2 linked regions of the Zea mays genome follow. The protein of the gene in region 2 interacts with the protein of the main gene of each other region in a biochemical or structural test. Links are inferred from orthologs where the notes say so. Each region holds a gene or a part of one and is shown on either strand. Other genes may lie near its edges. The genes, in order: Protein PIR and Probable protein NAP1-like.

The links.
Region 1: the proteins of Probable protein NAP1-like (region 2) and Protein PIR form a complex in vitro, tested with the Arabidopsis thaliana proteins (2 studies listed by BioGRID). The link is inferred for Zea mays from reciprocal best matches to the Arabidopsis thaliana genes GRL and PIR121.

The regions. Positions count from the first base shown.
Region 1 is NC_050096.1:9,477,571-9,490,337, reverse strand, and holds the start of Protein PIR, read right to left. Parts: upstream 6,766-12,767; 5' UTR 6,654-6,765; coding exon 6,600-6,653; intron 5,914-6,599; coding exon 5,841-5,913; intron 5,615-5,840; coding exon 5,550-5,614; intron 1-5,549. UniProt on the Arabidopsis thaliana protein: Involved in regulation of actin and microtubule organization. Part of a WAVE complex that activates the ARP2/3 complex. Interacts with the active form of RHO-family GTPases.
Region 2 is NC_050105.1:1,526,772-1,538,879, forward strand, and holds part of Probable protein NAP1-like, read right to left. Parts: intron 12,044-12,108; coding exon 11,918-12,043; intron 11,792-11,917; coding exon 11,684-11,791; intron 11,307-11,683; coding exon 11,262-11,306; intron 11,173-11,261; coding exon 11,030-11,172; intron 10,698-11,029; coding exon 10,565-10,697; intron 6,654-10,564; coding exon 6,549-6,653; intron 6,405-6,548; coding exon 6,326-6,404; intron 5,868-6,325; coding exon 5,674-5,867; intron 4,972-5,673; coding exon 4,826-4,971; intron 3,066-4,825; coding exon 2,984-3,065; intron 2,872-2,983; coding exon 2,761-2,871; intron 2,418-2,760; coding exon 2,292-2,417; intron 2,219-2,291; coding exon 2,106-2,218; intron 2,019-2,105; coding exon 1,922-2,018; intron 1,570-1,921; coding exon 572-1,569; intron 496-571; coding exon 286-495; intron 218-285; coding exon 1-217. UniProt on the Arabidopsis thaliana protein: Involved in regulation of actin and microtubule organization. Part of a WAVE complex that activates the Arp2/3 complex.

The sequences.
Region 1 (12,767 bases), on a different chromosome or scaffold from region 2:
GAGCAGCTGCAGCCACTAATTGATAGGCTTGCGGACCTCTTACCTAATTGGAAGGCCGACTTGATGACTAGGGCTGGAAGAGCTATCCAAGTGCAATATGTACTCACGGCAACAGTTATATACCACGCCATGGCTTTGGATTTACCTAAATGGGCTATCAAAGCCATTGACAAAATTAGACGTGGGTTTCTTTGGAAAGGACGAATGGATGTGCTCGGTGGTCACTGCTTAGTTGCTTGGGGCAAAGTGACACGATCAAAGGAGCTTGGTGGTCTTGGCATCTCTGATTTACAAAAACTGAATTGGGCCCTACGGGTAAGATGGTTGTGGTTGGAAAAAACAGACCCCTCGAAGTCTTGGGCTGATATACCTCTCCAGAGTTCCAGCATACTGAAATCTATCCTCTCTACAGCTATGATTACAGAGGTGGGTGATGGTCGTAACACCTTATTTTGGAGGGACAGATGGTTGATGGGACAGAGGATTGAGGACCTAACCCCTCATGTTTTTGCCCTTGTCCCGACTAGGATTGCCAACAGGAGAACGGTGGCAGAAGAAATTGTGGAGATGGCTTGGATCCGGGACCTGAGAGGCACCATCACTTGGGCTGTCATCTCTGATTTTTTGACTCTTAGTGAAGTTATTGCAGATTTCTCCCTTAGTGATGGAGTGCCAGACAAGCATATCTGGAGGTTTTCCTCGTCCGGCCAATACTCTTCAAAGTCGGCTTATGATATATGCTATTCCTAGGATCCACTTCTTTTGGAGTCTTTGAGCGCGTTTGGGAGTCTTGAGCACCTTCAAAGTGTAGTTTCTTCCTTTGGCTTGCCATGCACAATAGATGTTGGACCGCAGATCGTCTTGCTAAAAGAGGACTACCCCACCCCAGTGTGTGTCCACTTTGCGACCAAGAAGAGGAAACAATACAACATCTTCTCATCTCTTGCGTCTTTGCAAGACAGTTCTGGTACCTCTTGCTGCGCAGGTCCGGGTTGCCTAATCTTTCACCAGACAATGCTCTTTGCAGCTTAGAAGACTGGTGGAGCAGGGTTGTGGAGAAGATTCCCCGAGATCTCCAATCAGGCTTCAATTCTCTAGTTATTCTTGGCGCTTGGAGCCTTTGGCGTCATCGCAACGACTGTGTGTTCAATGGGAGGTCGCCGAGCCTAGCAAGTGCTCTCACCCTCGCTGGTGATGAGCTTAGGATGTGGTGTCGTGCCGGAGCTAAAGGGTTGAACTTGCTTTCAACTCTAGTGTTTATGCTTGACCCAGGGTGATAACCTTGCGCCTTGTTCAGAGTGGTGTGTGGTGGTTGTGTTGTGTCTTGTTGTGTCGTGTGGGTTGAGTTGTGTGTGTTGTGTTGTGTTGTACCTTCTTCTATCTATTAATGGAAAGATACGCAGATCTCCTGCGTGTTCGAGAAAAATAAACCAACGGAGGATATTAGGTAACACACATGAGCCCATATACACAAAGAATTGATTACCAAATAGAAGGAAGTTCATGTCTGTGTGCTTGGGTGCAATTTAATTAATTTGTATGTGTTACATGCTCTGGCAGGGGAAGGAGGCAATCCAGAATGGAGACAGGAAAGGGCCCGTCAGTATGTCCTTTCCGCTCCCGCCCCTGACCTTCCACCTCCGGCCGACGCCTCAGCCCCTCCACCCCACAGCCTCACGCCGGTCCTCCTCCCAAAGGCCAGCGGCCACCCCACTTGCTACCCCGGCGTCGGTCTCCTCTCCTTCTCTCACCGCCCAGTCTTTAACGGTTCTTCCTGGTGGCCGTTCAAAGGCACAGCGATGGTGTGAACATGAGTTTCCATCTGCTGCTTCCCTGAGTCAGTGTGATTCGCGTCGTTCCTATAAGGAGGTGCTAGTGGATGGAAGGTCCAGTGCATGCGGAGCTGACGTTGGTAATGGTGGCTGGGTGAGGGTTGTGGGACGCCGGTTTCACCATCGGAGTCCCCGTACCCCTCTCCCCTCGCAACCCCCTAGACCCGTTCCCGCTGATTTACGTGGGAGGTGCTTCAACTGCTTCTCACCTTCCCACCGTGCGGCCGAGTGTGGCAGTTTGGTGCGGTGTTTTCACTGTCGTCTGCCTGGGCATCGGGTGCGCGCGTGTCCACGTCGGAAGAAGACTCCACATCACCCAGCGAGGGTGTTGGTGTGGCGTCCCGTTTCCAGGAAGGTCATCCCGGAGGAGGTTCCTCTCTGCGCTATGGACGGTGGTTCGCGGGTCGGCGGTGATGGTGATGGAGAGAAGACGATGAAGCGCACTCGCTGTGGTCAAAGGCGCCGGAAAATGGACCTGGAGGTTTTGGGCGCATCTGGTCGGGTTTCATCTTTGGCATCATCACCATTGCCTTCGGTGGTGCCCCCCCCCCTCGTTCGCATAACCTTAGGCGTTCAAGGTTGCTCGACCAGGCGGAGGAGGACTTTCATCGTGCATTGATCGTCAATGTGCTTGGCCAGGGGGATTCTGACTGCGCCGCTGTGATTCTAGATGTGCTTGCCTTGAAGTATGGCCTTGAGGCTGATGCGCTCCAAATCCGACGTGTTGCGTCCAACTCGTACCTGGTCCTCTTCCCCTCTATGGAACACGTTGTTCGTGCCTTGGCTTGTGGACAATCCATCTGCATCCCCCCCCTCCGGTTGCATCTTAGGAGGTGGTCACGCCAGGCGTCGGCCACTGGTGGAGGTGCCCTGCCGGTACTTCTAGATGTTGAACTTGGCGGGATTCCGGCACACCTCTGGGGGATTGATATGGCAGAGCATCTACTCGGTGGACACTGCATCGTTCAAGGATTGCATCCGGATTCTGTTGATGGGATGGACATGTCGATTCTGACGCTGAAGGCATGGGGTTTCTCTATGGATTGTCTGCCTTCTCGCTGTGATCTCCATGTTGAAGAGCTGACGTCTATTGGAGAAGATGGATCTTGTTTCCCTCGCACTTTGATTTACTCTGTTTCTGTGAAGGTTGGTATTTCGGGTGCCTTGTCGGTTGAGGAACAGCCTCCGCCTTCCTCCCCGGATGATGATGAAGATCGTGATAACAAGCATCAGCGTCAGAGGCAGCACCTTCCGGAACATCAGTTCTCTTCGGTCCGGACCTCAGTACATACATATGATCGTGGAGGAAGTTTTAAAGAGTAGAGATAGTGTTGCATACATACATATACTATATGCTATTTATATTTTGCAAAACAGCGCTGGAGGGGGGCTCTACAGACTACAGTCGCCGCGTGATGGACGGGGCGCAGCTGACGCTCGAGCAGAGGGCTTCCAGAGCACAGCAGGATGGTAAGAGAGGAGGGCAGCGGCGTTGGAGAAGGTGCGGCGGCGCTGGAGAAGGGTGCACGCGCGAGCGCGACTGTGCGCTGCGTAATGTGTGTACCGTATTGATACAAGTAGGGCAAAACATTGTTTGTGATGTACAGATGGTGGGTCGGCCCATGTAACAGAGAACGGATTAGTGGCCCAAAACAGGCAAAACTAGTCGACCACTATACCTAGTCGGACGACTAATCGCGATTAGTCGGCGACTAGGACGACTAATCGCTTCCTAGTCGCTCTAGTCGAGTCGGAGACCCTAATCGAGCTCCCTCTAGCAATAAGGCCGACTAATCGCGCCTAATCGCGATTAGTCGGACGACTTTAAAACCTTGAGCAAGCTTTGAGATGCCTCTTTGTTAGTGATGATTGGACTAGGTCCAAGCTATCAAGCACAGAAGCAGGAAAGGTCACAGAGATACTTCTTTCTACAAACTTTTGGAACTCAGTACAAGATTGTATTCGTGCATCACAACCACTCCTCATTGTGTTGCGAATTGTTGATGGTGATGAAAAGCCAGCCATGCCAGAGGTTGCCGCTGCCATGGATATGGCAAAAGCAAAGATCACTTCGGGTTTTGAAGGTAGAGAGGCAATGAAGAGGAAGTTGCTTGCCATTATTAATCGGAGGTGGCAAGATCAAATGGAGGTGAAGTTGTATGGGGCTGCATTGTTTTAAATCCAAATAAGTTCTTTGAACTTCAAAAAAATGATCCAACAAAAAGGGAGATTGGTAGGCTGAGGGCAGCATTCAATGAGGTGCTATGGAAGATGGTTGACGACTATGACCTTCAAGCTATAATCAGTAAACAAGCTGATGAGTATATGAGTATGGCTGGCCCTGCCTTCTCATCGCCATTAGCAATTAGAGAACAACAACAAAAAGAGCCCCAGTAAGTTCTATTACCTCATTAATCATTTAAGTTTTGTATGGCTGGCAACACTAATTCAACTTCTCTTCTCTTTTTTTAGTTCGTTGGTGGGATGCATATGGTGGCCTTGCATTTGAGATTCAATCCTTTGCAAAGCGCATTGTTAGCCTTTGTTGTTCTGCTTCCGGATGTGAGCGCAATTGGAGCACTTTTGAATTTGTAAGTAAAAAATTGTCATTTCAGTTTCTATCTTGTTTTAATTGATTCTAGGACAGCAGCACTGATTCATTATTTAACACATAGATTCATACCAAAAAAAGGAACAGATTGGAGCACCAAAGGTTAAACAATTTGGTTTATATCCAATACAATAGAAAGATGGCAGCTAGGTTCCAAAGATTGCGTGGGGAGGGAAATATTGGTAACCCTTTAATTTTAGAGGATTTCCAATGGGACAATGAGTGGGTGGACAGTCAAAATGAAACAGTTAGAGAAGGGGATGATCTTGCATGGGCTCATGTGGATGATGCAATCGGTGCTTCTAGTTCACTTCAAGGTCGCAACTTCCCAAGAAGAGCCCGATATGAGTCTGTTTATTCAAGGCGTTGTCAAGCTGCTGCTACACAGGAGGAGAGAGTTATGGAAGAGGAAGAGCAAGGCAACGAGGGCAATGAACAAGATGATGAAGAGTACATGCCTAATGATGATGAAGAAGTGGATGACTTTGGTGAATCCCCACATAACAGTCCAACTCAAGCTGGTGCTGGTGGTGAAGAAAATGCAATGGATGATCTTGATTTGGGAGATATTTAGGGTATCTAGTATCTATCTAGCTGCTGCAGCAGCTTAGCTATCTAATGGAGTTTATTTCCTTTCAAGTTTAAACTATATTTTCTTGCTATTTGTTTTCCAATTTGAACTATATGGCTGTTATGACTTATGAGTTTATGACTTATCACTTATGTGGCTGATTTGGTTCAGTTTGAGGCTTCAAATGAGGTAAGACTTGCTGTTTATTTCAGTTTCGTTCAATTTCAGACTTCAAAAAGGTAAAACATCCTCTTTCTTCATATATAATTGATATTGATATATTGTCTATATGAAGCCATTATATAGGCAAAACAGCCACTATATTGGCAAGTCGACGACTAGTCGACTGACTTATCGACTAGTCACCAAGTCGGTACCTTGTCGACTCGACTTACCGACTTGAAAACACTGGTTCACATGGACATCTCTTAAAGACATCAATTCTCAAACAGGGATCAAAATGTTTATGGGTATTGAAGCAGAGAGGACGTGCAATGCAATCAACCAATCACAGAGAAAAAGAGGAACTACATACCAGCTGGTTGATTGCTTTTGTATCTTCTCCTAGTGATAGACGATAAGCAGCAACATCGCTGTACTCTGAACACGAAATTACAAATTTCAATCGACAATGGAGCAGTAAGAAACTGTGGCAACACTTAATATTAATTCAAGTATCAAAGTTTTTCTTGGATAGTATAATAAGGAAGAAATATATGTGCAGTATAGGCATCAGCCTATAGCATCACCATCACAGCCATGTAGAATAATCACTAATGTACTTAAAACTAACAGTATAAAAGGCAATGTTATGTTTGTCGCATACCAATAGGACTGTTAGTCGCATATCTTTCACTAGACAGGAGCACAGCTAACCCCTGCACATCCGGTTGCTCATCCTGAAATTTGGAATATAGCTAAATAATTTGAAAAGTGACAACAGCAAACACAACACATGCATTCTGATACAAAGAAGAATGAATGGCACATACTACAGGATACCAATCACAGAACCAAACAGACTACAAGTGGGAATGTCAACATCTCTCAATCAGTCCAGAGAACCATCAAATCAAAACTTCACTATAATACAATTTGAACCACTGGAGTGCACCTAATATACTAGAGTTGGCAGGTATTGCAAATTTCTATGACATCCTTCTACATTTCACCTATCAGTGCATTTAAAGCACACCGTACATGCCTGGCATTTTGAGTATGGTTGGGTATTAGCAAAGGGAACGTATCCTGTGCTCATAGAGCTCTTGTTTTAGTTTTCGGAATATCACAAGAAAACATCCGGTGGATACCCTCTATTTTATTCTCACGCCACAACACTTCCATAGCGTTCCAGGTGGATTTTGCGCTAAGCCAATTTTTGGTACCGAAATCCCTAAATTCCCACTTCACCTAGCATTCCAGCTTTGAGCACGAGCAAGCAAATGAACTCGTAAGCTACCCGGACCAAAACGCGCAATGCTGCATTTCGCCTATGGATTGCGAGGACGCGCAGATCAGGTGCGAAATTGAGGCTAGGGCGGCTGGGCGGGAACGGGGACCGCGAGGAGGGGCCGGGCGTGCGTACCTCGAGCGAGAAGGTGGAGAGGGCGGCGATGGCCTCCTCAACGGGGATGGCCATGTCGCCGGTGCGGCCGGGGCCGCAGGGAGGAGGCGCGGACGCAGGCGCAGGAGAGCGGTGGTGGCGGAGTGGTTGGGAGTGGGAGCGAGATGGTGCTACCGTTGGTAGAGACTAGAGAGAGACGGAGCCGAGATCGTGCTGAGCAAGGAGGCCGTCAAGGAGAGACAAGGAACTCGTACTGCCCCGGGTGACCTGTGGCAACGGTGGGCCAGACACCCAGTGGGGCGAAGAAGACGAGACGTGAAGTGTACTCGAAGTGAAATGGGAAAGGAAAAGGTAAGTTACCGGATGATTGCGGTCTTGCGGACCTTCGGAGCCGGTGTACTACCGGGCCTGTTTGTTAGAGCCGTGCGAGAATCGTCCCAAATTGGGCCTCATGCCCTCATCAGAACACATTCTAGGCGAGAGAACAACCAAATCAGATTTGACCTTATTTTAGTTTTCGGAATATCATAAGAAAACATCCGGTATCGTCTGATGCGAAATCGAGAGGTAGTTTGTCCAAATCTGAATACTCAAGGAAATGGTAAACATGTGGAGATCATAATTTGTACGAACTACCCCGATATTAACTAGCAGTATGACTTGTATCTGAACTAAGATTAAAACCATCAAGTATCTAATTGATATGATCTAACAAAAACTGTTATACAATCAAGTTTTCTGTATAATCACCGTTCAATCAAACTATCAAACGTTATAAAAAATATAAAATTAAGAGATATAAAAAAAGTATTATATCTAATATAAAGGATTAAAAACGATACAATTTCCTATTTTTATCTCTACTATATTAAAACATCAGTTTCAACGGTCTTTCTGCGTCATCTATTTACAAATAATCACTCACATCTATTTCAAATTAACTCGTTGCAGGCCTATCCCCTCCGTGCAACCAACCTCCACGCCTCAAAACACACCTCCGCATATAAATGGCTAAATAGGCGGCCCGACGCACGCGGGTCGTAGCTCCGGCCTAGGCACGGCACATCGGTCTGTTGACCGTGTCGAGGCCGGCCCGTTAGCACGTCGATCCATTTGGTTAAATCAGCGTAAACTATAAAAAAGTGATCCAAGAGATGGGGTTTAAACTCACGCCCTAATGGGATGAGTGGGAGACACTAGCCACCTGATTGGTTAACTACACCATTCCATCCTGAATCATCGCGTGCGTTCACTTTGGTTAAGCATCTGTTTGGTTACCTGTACGCGAGAAACGGTGATTGCACAAGTGCATGCAAAAAAAGTCATTCTGAGTCCATTTACCTGCATCTGCACATACGCCAGAAATGGTCGTACCTGGCCGACCAGGCTAGTGTGGGACTGGTTATGTGGACGCAGTTGTCGGCGTTTCGAGACCGGGGGGTCTCTAGGCCGACGAGTGAAATGTCGTCGCGTGCCCCAGCCCAGATGGGTCGACGCGAGGCCGAGCGCGAAGGGGGGAGAAAGGTGGCCGGAGACAGGCGTGAGAGAGGTGGAAATCTCGCGGCCTTCGTGTTCGTCCCGTGCCCAGGTCGGGTGCGCTTGCAGTAGGGGGTTACAAGCGTCCACGCGGGAGAGGGAGCGAGCGGCCTCACGCGAGCGCCTGTCTCGTCCTCGTCCCCGCGCGGCCAACCCTCTGTAAGAGGGCCCTGGTCCTTCCTTTTATAGGCGTAAGGAGAGGATCCAGGTGTACAATGGGAGGTGCAGCAGAGTGCTACGTGTCTAGCGGAGGAGAGCTAGTGCCCTAAGTACACGCCGTCGTGGCAGCCGGAGAGGTTTTGGCACCCAGTTGGTGTGATGTCGTGGCCGTCGGAGGAGCGCTGGAGCCTGGCGGAGGGACAGCTGTCGGGGCTATCGAGTCCTTGCTGACGTCCTCTTGCTTCCGTAAGGGGGCGGAGAGCTGCCGTCGTCAGGGAGCGTGCGGGGCGCCATCATTGCCTATCTGGCGGAGCGAGCCAGATGGGACGTCGGTCTTGTTCCCCGTAGCCTGAGTCAGCTTGGGGCAGGGTAATGATGGCGCCTCCCATTGACGTGGTCGGCTCGCGCCCTAGGTTGGGCGATGTGGAGGCTCCTCCGAGGTCGAGGTCGAGTCTGTCTTCCGTGGCCGTGGTCGAGTCCGAGCCCCTGGGTCGGGCGAGGCGGAGACCGTCGGCTGAGGCCAGGGCTGAGTCCGAGCCCTAGGGACGGGCGAAGCGGAGTTCGTCGTCTTCTAGGGCTGAGCCCGAGTCCGAGCCCTGGGTCGGGCGGAGCGGAGTTCGCCGTCTTCAGGGGCTGAGCCCAAGTCCGAGCCCTGGGTCGGGCGGAGCGGAGTTCGCCGTCTTCAGGGGCTGAGCCCAAGTCCGAGCCCTGGGTCGGGCGGAGCGGAGTTCGCCGTCTTCTGGGGCTTAGCCCGAGTCCGAGCCCTGGGTCGGGCGGAGCGGAGTTCGTCGTCTTCCGGGGCTTAGCCCGAGTCCGAGCCCTGGGTCGGGCGGAGCGGAGCTTCCTATGGCGCCTGAGGTCGGGCCTGACTGCCTGTCAGCCTCGCTCTGTCAGGTGGCACTGCAGTCGGTGCGGCGCAGGCGTCGCTGTCCTTCTGTCAGATCGGTCAGTGGAGCGGCGAAGTGACGGCGGTCACTTCGGCTTTGTCGACTGAAGGGCGCGCGTCAAGATAATGGTGTCAGGCCACCTTTGCATTAAATGCTCCTGCGATTTGGTCAGTAGGCGCGGCGATTTGGTCAGGGTTGCTTCTTAGCGAAGACAGGGCCTCGGGCGAGCCGGAAATGTGTTCGTCGCTGGAGGGGGTGCCTCGGGCGAGACGAAGATCCTCCGGGGTCGGCTGCCCTTGTCCGAGGCTAGGCTCGGGCGAGGCGTGATCGAGTCCCTCGAATGGACCGATCCCTGACTTAATCGCACCCATCAGGCCTTTGCAGCTTTATGCTGATGGGGGTTACCAGCTGAGAATTAGGAGCCTTGAGGGTATCCCTAATTATGGTCCCCGACATTAGCCCCCGAGCCTCGAAGGGAGTGTTAACACTCGCTTGGAGGCTTTCGTCGCACTTTTTTGCAAGGGGACCAGCCTTTCTTGGTTGCGTTTTGTTCCGGTGGGTGCGCGCGAGCGCACCCGCCGGGTGTAGCCCCCGAGGCCTCGGAGGAGTGGTTTGACTCCTCCGAGGCCTTAATGCCTCGCGTAATGCTTCGGCTGGTCTGGTCGTTCCCTCATGCGAGCTGGTCGTAGCCCGGGTGCACGGTCGGGTCCCAAGTTCTCGGGCTGGTATGTTGACGCTGTCAACGGTTTGGCCGGAGCCGGGTTTGCGAGAGCAGCCCCCGAGCCTCTGCACAGGGCGAGAGGACGATCAGGGACGGACTCGACTTTTTTACATACGCCCCTGCGTCGCCTTTCCGCAAGGAGGGGGGAAAGCGCCATGTTGCCTTCGGTGGGCGCCGAACATGGTGTCTCCGGTGAGCTGCTGGCGGGTAATCCGAGCAGACGTCCGTGCCCCATTTGCTAGGGGTCGGCTAGAGGCCCAGAGGCGCGCCCAAAAGTACCTGCGGGTGATCTGCCGGACCCGGTCCCCTGTCGACGGGGTCCGAGGGCTCGATGCCTCCCTCTGATGGGATTCCGTTACAAGATCGTCCCCACTGGTCTCGGAAATGTCCTAGGGTACCTCGGGAGCGCAGCCCGAGCCTTGGTTATGTATCGAACGTACCCATGGTCATCCCTCGCTCTGTGTCTGAGGCGGCTGTGAACCCTTCGGGGGCCAGCCTTTGAACCCCTGATCAGTAGGGGGCGCGGAGCCCGAGTAGCCTGAGGCGGTCGTTGAACCCTTCCGAGGGGCCGGCCTTCGAACCTCTGACCAGTATTGGGTGTGGAGCCCACGCGCTCTGAGGCGGCTGTTGAACCCCTCTGAGGGGCCAGCCTTCGAACCTCTTATCAGTAGGGAGGCTCGGAGCCTGGTTCCTTCACGGGGAAGGATCCTTTTCGGGGTATCCCCCTTTCCTGGTCCCTGTTGCAAGAGAGAGAAAGAGGAAAAGGAAAAGGATACGAAATCGAATGACATGGCGTACCTTTTTTGACGCGTTCATTATGGCGAAGGCGAAGCGTCGCTCGCTTCTCCTTCCAGAGGCGTCGCCTGTCCCGCCGCGGAGTTAATGCGATGGGGCGAGTGGTTCGCGGGGCGGACGTTGCGCGTGCGCGGGCCGTTCGAGGAACGGAACACAGGCGCGTCGTCTTCACGCCGTGAGAGAGGGTTCTCTCGCTGCCCCCGGATGGGACGTGAAAGTTGCCTAGAGGGGGGGTGAATAGGCAAGTTAAAACTTTTTCAACAAAAACTAGAAACAAACTGGGTAAAACTGAATTGATCTCGAAATTCACCCAGTTAACTTTGGAAATGAGATGTTCTAAATGATCCACAGGGTTCAAAGTAGTAGATCAGAGAAGGGCACTTCTCAAAATCCACACACCAAAAAGATATAAACAATCTTCCACGGAATGGTGAGAGAACGAAGAACATGAACAAACACAATGAGCAAGAACGCAAGAGACACAAGATTTATCCCGAGGTTCGGTCACACCACAAAAGGTGCCCTACTTCCTCGTTGAGGCGCCCACAAAGAGCCGGGTCTCTTTCAACCCTAATCACCCCAATTAGACCTTTATTTCATAATCAACAACTGATGTATATCCTCAAGTGCTTCTTTTTCCTTAGTGGCTACATAAGTCACAAAAAAAGATAAGATTTGAAAATAATATGCACTTGAGATTCAGTTGTTACCACCCTTGCTACTATCTCCAAATATGATTTATACATTCATTATCGAGCACCCAACTTGATCCATTGAAGGCGTGATCCTGCAAAACAAGTTTAAGCTGCATATCTTGGTACCCAATTTGAATTGGGTCCTTTGAGATTAGTAGGAAGAGCCTTGAGTACCCACACATTCCTTATTGTGGCATTTCTCTTTGTGTAGGCATCCACATATACTTGACAATCATCTTACATGGTTTCAAGTCAATATTTAATCACATATATAAAAGCTAGAGTTAAGAATAGGAGCCTTTTCTCCTTTTCTTGATACATCATTGTGTTGCCTTCTTGATGATGAACCTAGCTTGACCTTGAGTGCACCTAGCTTATCAAGGTTAGTCGCACAAGCATTCATATCATAAAGACAAGTTATGCATATAATTTACAACTTAGTGATCCAATTCAATGTGAAGCATATGGATACCGATTGAAGTATATTTCTAAGATATCAAAATATGGGTTTCCAAACTTTAGAGAGTATGGATCACTAATTGTACCTTTTATAGTTAAAAATCATATCCATATTAGTGCATATGTATGTGATGAATATCAACAAAAAGATTCTTATACACTTTTAGAATTAATGAAAAGGGAATTTTAAACTGCATCAAGAGTAGCTATTTAGAAAACAAAGATTACAATCCATATGAATGAAATACAAATTTACCATTTTGGATTGTCTTAGTATAGCTTACTCAAGTGAAACTTATTCTCTATGACACAAGATATATAATGTTCTCCCACTCGATATGTGCATCAAGTATTTGAATGACTTGACACATGCACTTTCAATTCATTTAAGAGTCTCATGAGGAGTATATTACATATCATGGTCAAGGCATGACAAATTTGCAATGAATTAACTTATGCCTAAGAATACTTACCACCATATAGAATGTACCATTTGTTATACCAATTGAAAGGTCTTGCTATATGAGATGGTGTGATCTAAGTATTCTTCTTGTCTTCATTCGTGGAGACTTCCTTCTTTGTTATCTTTTTTCCTTTTAAAACTAGTTGATAAAACACTTTGAAAAGAGGCATTAGTAGTACAAGGAAGTATTTAATGAATGATGATATTTATATATGAATGGCAAACAAATCATCATTTATGAGGCATAAAGGCATAAAATAATTCCTTTTAAATTAATGCATATGGATGAGTGAATTAATAATATGCACCAATTTACAAATTTAAGCCAAAAGGAATTTAACCTTCATATTGACATTTTTTTATAAAATAGATTATTACCAATTGAAAGAATGCCACTTGAAAGGAACTATTATTGGTCACATACCAAATGAAACAGTAAAAATCTGCAAAAATAGAGCTGAAAAGGTTGCAACC
Region 2 (12,108 bases):
CCTTGCGGACGGGGACGCGTGTGCCAGAGAGATGAGAGGCGACTGCCTTGGGGACTGCTCCGCCGGTTCCGAGGCCAGCAGAGAGCCTCCGTACAGCTGGTGGTATATCGAGCGCAGGATGGTGTATGGGATGTGAGCTTCTAAGGTGCTCCTTGGCACGTACGGGGACAGCTCGCAGAGCTGGTCCAGGAATGTCAGCTTCGGGACGATGTGCTGCCTGCATTTGGTGTCATGTATAAAATTTAAGCCAGCAAACAAAATGCAGTCAGTGCACCAGGTACCTACCTGCTTGTGTCGTTCCATGAATCCAGGACGATCCCTGCAGACAGTTTGACGTAGATCTGCATACAAGATTTGATATTTGCTTCTGCTGAGACACGGCTCGGTAACTCGGCCTCTTGCAGCTCATCTGTATGCACATTTGAAAGAGAATTTATTCGCTGCTCCCTTTCGACCCGAGTGTATTCGCTTCCCCCAATCACAGCACTTACACACCTGCACAAATACAATCACAGCACTTACATACCCACAACTAACGATTTTTGACATCAAACATAGAGTCAGTCCATACCTTGCTAGGCAGTGCAAATTGTTACTGAGTCCACCTATATTGACATCATAAACAGCACCGTTCCAAATGTTGGACACCATGAATGCAGCACAAAGGTATGGAAGTAGGATCCAAGAATTATCATTAGCTGCACCAGCGTCTGCCAGAATAGAGTGTACCCACTCAGCATCATGTTTGTCGCCAACACCAACACTGCTCGCAACCTTTCTCAATCTAATTATCTCATTTTTATCAGGTACCTCGTCTGGCAACTGCAAGGCTAATCCTTTGAGCAGAGAATATATCAGAGGCACTTTCTCTTCAAGGACTGCTCCGACGGCCTCAACCAACAGCCGACGGAAAGTTATTGCCTGCCCTGCTTGAATACAGAGGTCAGCCAGTGTTTCGAGGTCAATAATTTGTTTCAGGTTCACATCCCTTTCAATCCTATCGCCGGAATTTACAGTTCCAGCTAGGCCCTCTAAGGCATCACGATTTGACCTCAATGCTGAATCGATACAGTTTAAAAGCGCAGACGTATGCTCCCTTAGCATCTTATCCATTTTATCTATTCCATAGCCACCAAAAAGACGAACAAGTGATTTCATTTCTCTTTTATCTGTAAATGATTCAGCCAAACATCCACCACCAATAGGCTGTGAGCTCCTGAAGCAATTTTGGATTGCATCAAAAGCAACTCCAATGCGAGAAGCGTCCTTTACTACATTCTCAATATACCAGTTGCATATCATCTCAACGGCAGACCCCCCTCCTTGTGTCCCCACTGGAGTCTCAAACATTTGAAGATTGGGAAATGGACCAGTATAACTCTCAGCTAGCAGCACTTCACGTATGCCTTCAGTAAGGTCCATACTAATATGCTGCTCTGCTAGATGGATGATGCCCAGATGTCTTCTTAGAAGAGATTCTATGATTGATGGTCGCTGAATGCAGTTCTCAGTTCTAATCATACTATGAAATCTTCTCCTGAAATTTCCTATGATGCAGTCTCTCATGTACTGTGAAATTAACAAGAATCTAGGTAAGTCAAACAACTCAATGTAATCGTTTTATTTTCAATAAAATCTTAATTTATATAAAAAAAAGTGCAGACAAGGATATGCATGGCAGTTTAAGGAATAAACAACATAAGCAGTAATTTCCTTTTGAAAAATACAAAACTCATTGCATCATTCTTTTTAGATCCTTTTTCACATAAGTTTATTACCATAACATGAAAAACAAGGACACTATCCATCAGCTTAATAGACATGAACCACCAATGATCTTGTCATGGCATATCATTATGTTATCCTAAAAACCTAACATGTCATGCATATTTACTTCACAGTGAACATAAATTGTGCATACCTCGCGTAGAACAAAAACATGGTTGAGAACACCAATAGGCTCCATGTCATTTAGAACAGAACACAAACTTGTCAGCCTTTGCATAGCAGCTTCCAGCCTGTTTTTGAGGCATAAATAATTATACTCAAGTCAATAGAATGATGGAAATATTTAAACAGTGGCGTGAAGTAACAACTTGACTGACATCTTAATTGATGAACTGTTATCAGGATAGCTCTCATATCCTGGAGTTAACAAGCTTGAAACACCCTTTGCTCTTGTGTTATTTAAGCGAAGAGCTGCTTGCTCTGGGGAAAGCTGGCAAGATTTTAGAAGTGAGACTTAAAGCTATAAGCCAAAAATCGTAAAGATAAACTCAGAAATTATCTACCTGCATCTCTAATGAGCCAAATCCACCTTCTGAATCTAGAATATTTATCAAACCTTCCAACCCACCCATGATAGACTCGATAAGGGACTCCACATAAGAGATAGAATCTCTGCCAATTTTGTTAACCTACATTTCAAACAAAGAAAGATTCAATAATAAATATGCCAAACATAGAAGAGAAATGCAGCCCTGTAGAAGAGGAATCTTAGTAACAGATTGGGGACATATTGTTATGTCATAGTAAGAGTTGGAGCATATAGGATTATTATGTCAATGGCAGTTCAAAGCCTTCAAATCCCAGGGCATAGGTGGCTGGCTTATTGCTTAATAGATCAAGCATAGCAAATGTCCATCTCGCCAAGCAAAAACTAACCCTCAAAGCTAGTCATGTTGCCAAGCACATCTTTAGGATGCTGTAAGCATCAAAATAATGCTCAAACTAAACCATATAGTGAGTTCAAATATACACCTCTTCAGGAATAATTGCAGAAGCACATTCTGGAAAACTGCAAGCGGCTCCAAGCCAAGCACAACAATGCTGTGGACGACCTTCTGGGCCAAACATTGTATTTCTGAAGACCTGTGGGTCCCAGCAAAAAAGTACTTACTATCAGCATAAAAGTCTAGTTACTTAGAAATTATTTAAAGGACCATGCAAATCATACAGCAATATAAACAAAATATAAACTTACCGTGGTAAGATGCTGATGATAAAAGTAGAGTTTTTTAAGGCTTCCATGTTTGGAGAGTTGGCTCTCAAGTTCATCAACACATCTGCAGAACATGTTAACTCTAGTGAAATTCAAATGGTCCTTAAAGAATTTTGATTCAAATTCAAGTATTTCAGTTCTTGCCAAAAGCACAATAACAGAGAACAAGAGCTATGCAGATGGATGCATGATAAACAACTGCTTTAGTTATTCTAATTTACCAACTATATTTGTAGTAGTATAAAATATTTTTTTCTCAAACGCGCAGGAGTGCGCATCATTGTATTAAGAGAAAGAGAAGTCCAAAATGGACCAAATACAATGCCCAAACAAGGCCAAAAAAAACAGACAAAGAAAGAAAACTAGACCATGAGTAGTATAAAATAGATGGTATAAAACAAGGTGTAATTTTAGAAGCATGTTCCAAGGAGATTCTCATAGAAATAAAAAACTGTTTCATGCTTTTCTTCCTGTGTGGTGACAAAATGGTCTCCCATCTGGAATTTTGCAATAAAATTCTTTTTCTTGTGGTATCTTGCTTGCTGATGGAAAAAGGAAGTGGAGAGGATACTAAATTTTGGACTGCTCGGTGGCTACACGGTAGTACAGTTGCTGATCTGGCTCCTAATCTTATTCAAATAATTCCTAAAAGTGCAAAAAGGCAGCTAACTGTATCTCCAACTTTGAACACTAGAAAATGGGTTGCAGACATCCAAGATGCCCTCACGGTCCAGGTGATTATCAAATGTTTGAAATTATGGGAATTGGTCGATGACTTTACCTTTCAGCCATCTACCATTGATCAGCACACTTGGAAGCTTACCCATTGAGGGCTTTACATTTACACAAGTAAATCTGCATACGACTCTTTTTTTTCCTGGGATCTATTGAGTTTACACCTTGGAAGAGGATTTGGAAATCTTGGGCCCCGCTTCAGTGCAAGTTCTTATGGTTGGCAATGAAGAATAGATGTTGAACAGCGTGCCACTTATCTAGGCACAGACAGACACATCCTAGTGTTTGCTCTCTTTGTGACCAGGAAGAGGAGTCAATTCAGCACATTCTAGTTTCATGTGTCTTCTCCCGGGAGATTTGGACCAAAATTCTTCTTTTTGTTAGATTGCCGGTCATCGCCCCCCAACCTGATGTGTTCTTTTTCAGCTTGGTAGCCAGCAAGGTACCTAAGGAGACAAGGAAAAGACTTACTCTCTAATCATTCTTGTCGCTTGGTTCTGTGGAAGCGTAGGAACACGTGTGTTTGAGGGTATTAGTTCTAGTGTCTCCAGAGTTTGCCAGGAAGTGGAGAAGGAGCCCAAGCTCTGCTGTTTAGCCAGAAACACGGCGCTTCACAAGCTGCTCGGTAGGGCGCGGAGGCTGAACGCTTGAGCTGTCCTGTAGTGGTCGTGTTACTTGTTTGTGTGCCGTGTTTACTGGTGTGTGTGTGTGGGTGGGGGGGGGGGGGGGGGGCTCCAAGCTTTCCCCTCATGTTTTTGTTCTGTTTCTTCTACCTTAGTGAAATGACATGATGCAGCTCTCCTGCCTCATTCGAGAGAGAAAATAGGAGCATGCAATAGAGCCGTTTATTTATGTTGGCCTAATTAAGATTAAGCACTTTACAGAAGCTGGAGTTCACTTAATACCACACTAACCACAGCAAAGGCGCACAATGGGAAATTGCCATCACATGATTGGGCCTGAGGCCACATGCCATTGACACATAGGATACCATTTTGCAAATCATGATCCTTTCAGAAAATATTGGCAGGCAAAAAGAGTTAAAAAATCTAGCTAAGCTAACTCAAATTAAAGCAGATTATCAATCACCTTGACCAATTATATGCAGCATTGCCTTCTGACACCAAACCCTCCTTCCCAGTAGACACAGTAGCCTTCTCCAAGTGCTTAATGTTTATCGAGGATCGTGAAGATGTGACTATCATCAAGATTGACAGCCAGTGCTTACGCAAATCCTGTAGCATATCAGGTTTGAACAGTTCAAAATGCAAAATTAAATGGAAGACTAAGCATACAGAATTAAATACACAGTTGGTGCCATACTTCTCACTGGCTAATGCAATCGGCAATGTAAAAGAAAACCAATGTGTGAACCTTTCAAGTTTCAACAAGCAACAGAATATGGTGCTTAGATTAACAGCTTTCAACATGATTAAAAATCATAAAATTGTCAATACACAGAAAAGGGGTGAGATAACATTCAATAAACCACAATTATAATGAGTTTGAGGAGAAGCATAGTGAGCACTTCTTTATCAACAAAAATACTCTGGCAGTAAAGCAAATATATTATCGTCAACATCTAGAACTTTATTTTTCAACAACGCCATTAAAAAGTATTCAAAACTACCTTGCAATCTAGAATCTTGATAAATATTAGAACTGCAGTTATCTACATGTAGACTTATAACATGTACTACTGCTCAAATGAAACAGTTTTGAGAGGGAAAGCCTGAGTGCTGGAAATTATGCACAAGAAATTTGAACAGAAATTGTATAATGTTGTGTGGATCAACAGGAAAACCTTTGCATCAATCTACACATTACTGGGCATAGAAAATTGTATTAACAACAAGAATGCAGAAGTTGTAGGAAAATTAGGTCTATCTTCATAGGTCAGTGAGAATTCTGTATATGATATTAGGTTGATAACTTACAGCCAAGTCAGCGGTAATGTCAGGAACACTTTCCCCCTGAGGTTTTGGAATGTTCTCCAGACAATGGAGGACTTGCTGAAAAAGGCCTTTCAGTGTCGCATCTAGGTCAAGAGCAACCATTCCTGGAGTACCAAGTAAGAACCGTATTCTTCCAGCACTGGATAACAAATATGATAAGGCATAACCTTTTATTGCTGCAAAGAGGAAAAGGTATCATTTGATAAAAATGAAAAAAAATCAACACTGCTACTTTAGGACAAACTTAAGTTTTTTTTGTATAATACTTTATTTGTCCAAAAACAAAGAGATGTGCATCAGTATATAAATTCAGCACTGAAAAACATAATCTTCTTAAGGCATGAATGAAAAATTTACTCAACATATATTAATGAATACAATCCTACCAGTTGAATCTAATATGCTATATTCTAAGGTAGTGCTTGCAACATGAACTAAGCAAACATTAACTAGCCCAGAATGGGCCACCAAAATGGCATGCCAGCTACAACTTGTTCACTTGTTCTGACCTCAACATCATAATAAGGTATTTTACTCACAATGACTGCCTTATAACTTTATAAGGCACGGCTAGGACTAGACAAGGAAAAATATTAAAAGAAACACTCAAATAAAGCAACAGGTTTGGAAGAACCTGCTATGTATTTACGAACCAGGCAACAAAGTTTGCCTATTCCATCTAGTAAGAAACCAATAGTTGGGTCTGTCGCATCCTGAAAGTTCAGTCAACAATTAGTATGGAAGGGAACAACATTTCTTTTTTGAGATGACAAGAAACCTCTGCTTTTAGAAAGCAATAGAATACTGGAACAACGACTTATTGAATCCAAGGAAAAAATAATTGCGGAGTAACTCACAATGTCAACAGTTTTCAACCGAGTAGATTTTGATGATGCAATCCCCACATGTTGGAAGTACCAAATCACCTCGCATTGAGACAAAGCAAGAGCAGAAAAAACCATCTGCACAATGTACCAGCATTATTACATCAATTGTGGAATAACATGATCTAAGGTGCTTCCCTCAATATGAAGTCATGAAGATCTTTGAAAGTATATAGATAGAGCCTAATCAAGGCTCATGGAATCTGCCAAGGTTATCTTTATTGAACAGAGAAATAATTTTTTTGTGAAAAACTGGCAGGAGCTCTGCCTTTCAATTAAGATAGGGAAGAGGTTATGTACATGCTTAAAAAACGAAGGAACACCCTACTAACATCATTCCAGACACCACGAAGGTGCAAAAGAACCAAAGAGAATCTACAACTCTATACCTTCCAAGTTAAGGCCCTTCTTTGTTGCTCGATGTCCTGCTTTGCTCTAGAGGCAACTTGCACTGCCGTTTCAAAAGCACCGGTGAAGAACCTTCTGTTCCGTTCTTTCCAGATGTTCCAAATAGTGTAAATCACTACTCCGTTGAATCGCCTTCTTTCACCTATCGGAATCTTGGCTTGGGATACCTCCCACCACCGGGTCAGCTTGGTAGGCTCCTCTGACGGAATGACTAGATTTTCATCGAAATGCCCCCAAGCCAAGGTGAATCTCCAAACAGATTTGGCGAAAGGGCAAAGCAATGCCAAATGGATACAAGTTTCCAGTGGCCTATTACATAGAGCGCAGTGATCTTGGTGAGGCCAGATCCTTTTTTGTAAATTGGCCGCGGTGAGAACTTTTTCCATTGTCATTGTCCATGCGAAAACCTTGCACTTGTTTTTGGCATGTACTCTCCAGATTAGGTTGGACCGGAACAGCCCGAAGGAGCCTCTAAACTGGATACGATATGATGAGCGAGCGGAGTATGTTCCATCTGCCGTCCATCTCCAGAGTATGCAGTCCCTCATGGCTGGTGTAAGGTGGGTGTCCTAGGTTCTGATCCAAAGTGAGATGAACTCCTGTATCTGGATTGCAATGGTGATTTAGCCTCACATCGCGTTGATCCAGTGATTATCCCGGAGCTCCATGTGGACTGATCCGTTTTTTGTCCTAGACATCGCAAATAGGTTAGGAGCTAAGCGGTATGGCGCCTCTCCATCAAGCCAAGCGTCATGCCTGTTGGGAATAGTCCCACATTGTGTGATGAGGGTGTGCAAGCATGGTTTATATGGTTGAGGGTGCAACACCCTAACGGGCTAGCTTTTGGGGAGTGTTGACCCAAGAGACCTAAAGCCCGCTGCTATGCGTGTGAGCGTGTGTGTCGCGACCCGACGGCCTGGGTGGGCGCGCCGTATGTGCGGGCGGTCCAACGGACACGCCATGTGTCGGCGATCCGGTTCCAACAATGCCAAAAACGACATTTGTGGCCATCTCCAACGACGACCCTTGTTGAGGCAGTGAAAAGTGCTCGATCAGTGTCGTCCGCCGGGGTATCCATGCCAACCTAAGGTTTGGTATCATCCACCCATTCCTGCCACAACCAACGAAGGTGTAAAGCCCTGCCAAATTTATCATGGTCTAGAATCCCTAACCCGCCAAAGTCCTTCGGTCTTGTGACCGTTGCCCAATTCACTAAACAGTGACCCCCGTTGGCGTTTTCTTCTCCTTTCCAAAGGAAGGATCTTCTGATTCTGTCGATTCGCTTACGGGCCCAGACCGCGAGCAGGAACACCGTCAGATGATAGGTTGGTATGGAAGAGAGGATTGTTGAGACAAGAGTGAGACGACCAACTCTGTTTAGCCACTTCCCTTTCCAACCACGGAGTCTCTGAGCAATACGTTCGATGAACGGCTAAACAGAGAAGTATTCTCTGGCAATCCATCAGTAGAGCTACTAGCTAGTAAATCCAAAGTAATCATTTCTGCATTTATTTTCTCTTTATTGTGAATTACCCCCTCTTTTGATTATTAATAATATAAATATGAAATATATAGCGCAATATACTATATTTTTCTCAAAAAAGATACTATATACAGATAAGTTGCCTTACATAAAGTTGAATTGTTTACGAGTGTAAACGGAAACAAGAAGTCTAATATGTCTGGTACCCCAGAATAACCGGTAGAACCATACGGTGGGGTACATCTTTTATCATGGTTATCAAGGCGGTAAGGTGATGTGGTGACTGACTATACCTTACACTTAAGCGACTAAAGTGTGAGGTGAGGTGACACTGACACCTTAAGAATTTAAGGAAAATTTAAAACAGCAGCTTAGAGCAGCAGATGATGAAGAGAAAAAAGAAAAGGAACAGAGTAAGAAGTGGGCTGGCCCAGCCCACCAGGCAGCCCATGTTCCCCTCCCCCTCCTGGTGATCATCTACAAAGTTTTCCATCTCGCCATCTACAAAGCTTTGATATTCTGGTGGTCAAGCAAAAGGAACATTTGCAGCAGACCTCTGATATTCTGGCAATCTGGCTTGCTCTGTGAAGGACTTCCCCTGCAAGTATCTTGACCCCCCCCCCTCTCACCGTCCACAAAGCTTCTAAGACTGACCTTCCTTTGGTGAACAAGGTGGCTGATCAACTTCCAGGTTGGAAGGCCTCCCTGATGAACAGAGCAGGGTGCCTCACTATGGTCAAGGTGGTTCTAACTGCTTCTACCATAGTACCATCTATCATGCTAATGCTATTGTCATCGAGCTTCCTAAATGAGTAGTCAAAGCCATTGATAAACGGCAGGGGTTTCCTTTGGAAAGGTCAAGACTCAAGAGAGTGCCAATGGAGGGAGCTGTCTGATTTCTTGGGAGCGAGTCCATGTCCAACGCCCATTGCGATATTGGGGGGGGATTCATAATTTGGAGACTATGTGCTGTGCTCTGTGCATCCTTTGGCTGTGGGCAGAGAAAACTGATCATGCTAGGCCATGGGCTGGACTACAGCTCCAAGTCCCCCTAAAGGCATGATCCCTCTTTCATATTGCCGTAGATTCCTTAGAGGGTAATGGAGAGAATATAAAATTCTGGAATCATAGATGGGTACAGGGGAAGAAAATCTCAGAATTGGCTCCTAATTTAGTTAAGGCTGTCCCAAAGGGGCTTATCAAGAGGACGGTGGCCCAAGCTCTGAATAACCGTGCATGGATAGCTGGCATTATTATTATTATTTTGGGGGAGGGGGGCTTTCAGTTGAAGTCCTAGTCAAATACTTGCTGATTTGGACAATGTGATGCTTCAAACCAATGCCCAAGATCAGTCCCGCTGGAAACTTACTCAGTCAGGCCACTACTCTAGCAAATAAGCCTGCAATGCCTTCTTTGTGGGAACCATTAAATTCGTACCCTGGAAAATTATTTGGGCACCCTGTGGTCCAGATTCTTCATTTGGCTCGCCATCAACAACAACAACAGGTGTTGGACAGCGGATCACCTCTCTAAGACGGGCTTACCCCATCCATCTTCCTGCCCCTTGTACGATCAGGCCGAAGAGACAATTCAACATGTTTTAACCTCCTGTCTTCACTTGGCAGGTCTGGGCCTCAATTTTTCAGAGGATTGGTCTGGCTGCTGCAGCTCCTTTGAGCACTTCTCATAAGTTCTCTAGTTGGTGGAGAACTACTCTCAATGCTGTTCATAGGGATCTGAACCGATGTGTATCTAGGGCAGTTTGGAAGCATCACAACCGATGTGTCTTTGAGGGTTCTGCTCCTCATATTGGCAGTCCTTCAGAGTGTGGGTGATGAGTGTACTCTTTGGTACATGGCCAGAGCTTCCAATCTCCAAAAGCTCCGCGCTAGGTCGCTGGCCCAAAAAGCATAGGTTAGGTGTGGTTCTGGTCATGTATCTATTATTCTATCCAGTGAGCGTGGCACATCTTAAGATGTGCTCTTGTATTTGGGTGAGGCTGTTTTAGCCTCATCTTGGTGCTCTTTTCTATCTTAATGAAATGACACACATCTCTCCTGCGTAGTTCGAGAAAAAAAAAGAATACTTGGGGCCAAACCTGAATATTAGGTGCTAGGAGGCTAGGTTGATCAGTGAAAAATAAAACCATCCTTCCAATTTCCTGCTTAAGAAGAATTCTCCTCTCACGATGCATAGCATCACATGACACCAGTGCTTGCTCATGCACTTCCCTGTAGAGAGTTAACACAAACCATTAACAAACATCTGAAGAATGATGCCAAGTAGATAAAATAAAAAAGAACAAATTAAAAGTAATGAAACCAGAAGGGTAAAATGCTAGGTAAAATAGTTCCCGAGTTATGAAGCCAAAAGAACCAACCAAGAATAGGCTATCTGAACTAGTGGCAAATCCCAAAAGAAGTGAATATGCAGAAAGATTTCAAAAACAATAATCAAAATATAAGGTAAATAACTCAAACTTGTGGAACAGAACCATCTTCACATTACAAGCTATTCTGGAGCATAGAGAAAAGTATATATACAATGACTGTGCAGGACATACGTTAACATTCTCTCAACCTGCTTTGCAACATTGTACTCCAGATCAGCTTCCTTTTGCTTAGTTCGGCCAGATTTAGCCATTCTCTTCGATTCTAGAACTTTTGGAAGAACATAAAGTTGATAATTTTCATGAAGTAAGATGTACTACACAAAAAATGAAAAAAAAAACAAATTAGAATAGTGAATAGTGACACCAAAGAATTAATCTTGCTGCCACATGTCTTTAATTTTACCTCATCTCTGAACAGAGGAAGTATTAAGTTCTCTTTCAGAACAACCTGAAAGTGACCAAGAAGAAACAGATCAAGGCTAAATCACAGATGACATGCTGGTTGCACTGAGGAATCTAGTTTGGTGAATCTTTACTAATTCTAGTACAGTTTCTTGTAACTGATTCATGAAAGATGTCTTCAACCAAATCCATCTAAAAATAGAAATAAATGAATGCTTTTAAAAAGCCAACCATAGCACCAAACGGAGGCTTACCAGATACCAACACAAGACTTATTATGATAAAATGGAGTGAGAAAACACGATGCATGTGCCACTATTTTGGTTGATGTAAGTGCAACACTAAAACCATTATATACACCATAAATTATTAGCTATTCAGGAAAAGAGAGTAGAAACTGACAAACAAAGACATAGGGCATACCATGGCAACATCTATACTGGTCACCCTAAGTAGTTCATCAGGACAAACAAGATATCCTAGAAGAACCCACTCACGGTATGATGTGACATTAGCCAAGTCTTGGGCCCTCTGGGAGGAAACAGAATCAGGTTAAATCTCTAAATTACAATACATTGTTATCATGGTATTGGCAGAATAATGGACAGACATTTATGCTCTCATGATTTATCATCTCTAACAGTGAAAGGTACTAACCATTGGATGGGCAGAATTTGTTAGGATGTCTGGATAACGTGGATGAAATGGACTGAGGAAACCTTCGTTCCTTAACTTTTTTGTATCAGTTGAAAGAAATATAATTGGGCCAACAGCTTCCAGGACCTGAGGACAAAATATTACAGTCGAAGCACCAAAAAAAAACAATTTAGTAGAAAATATAAGTCAGA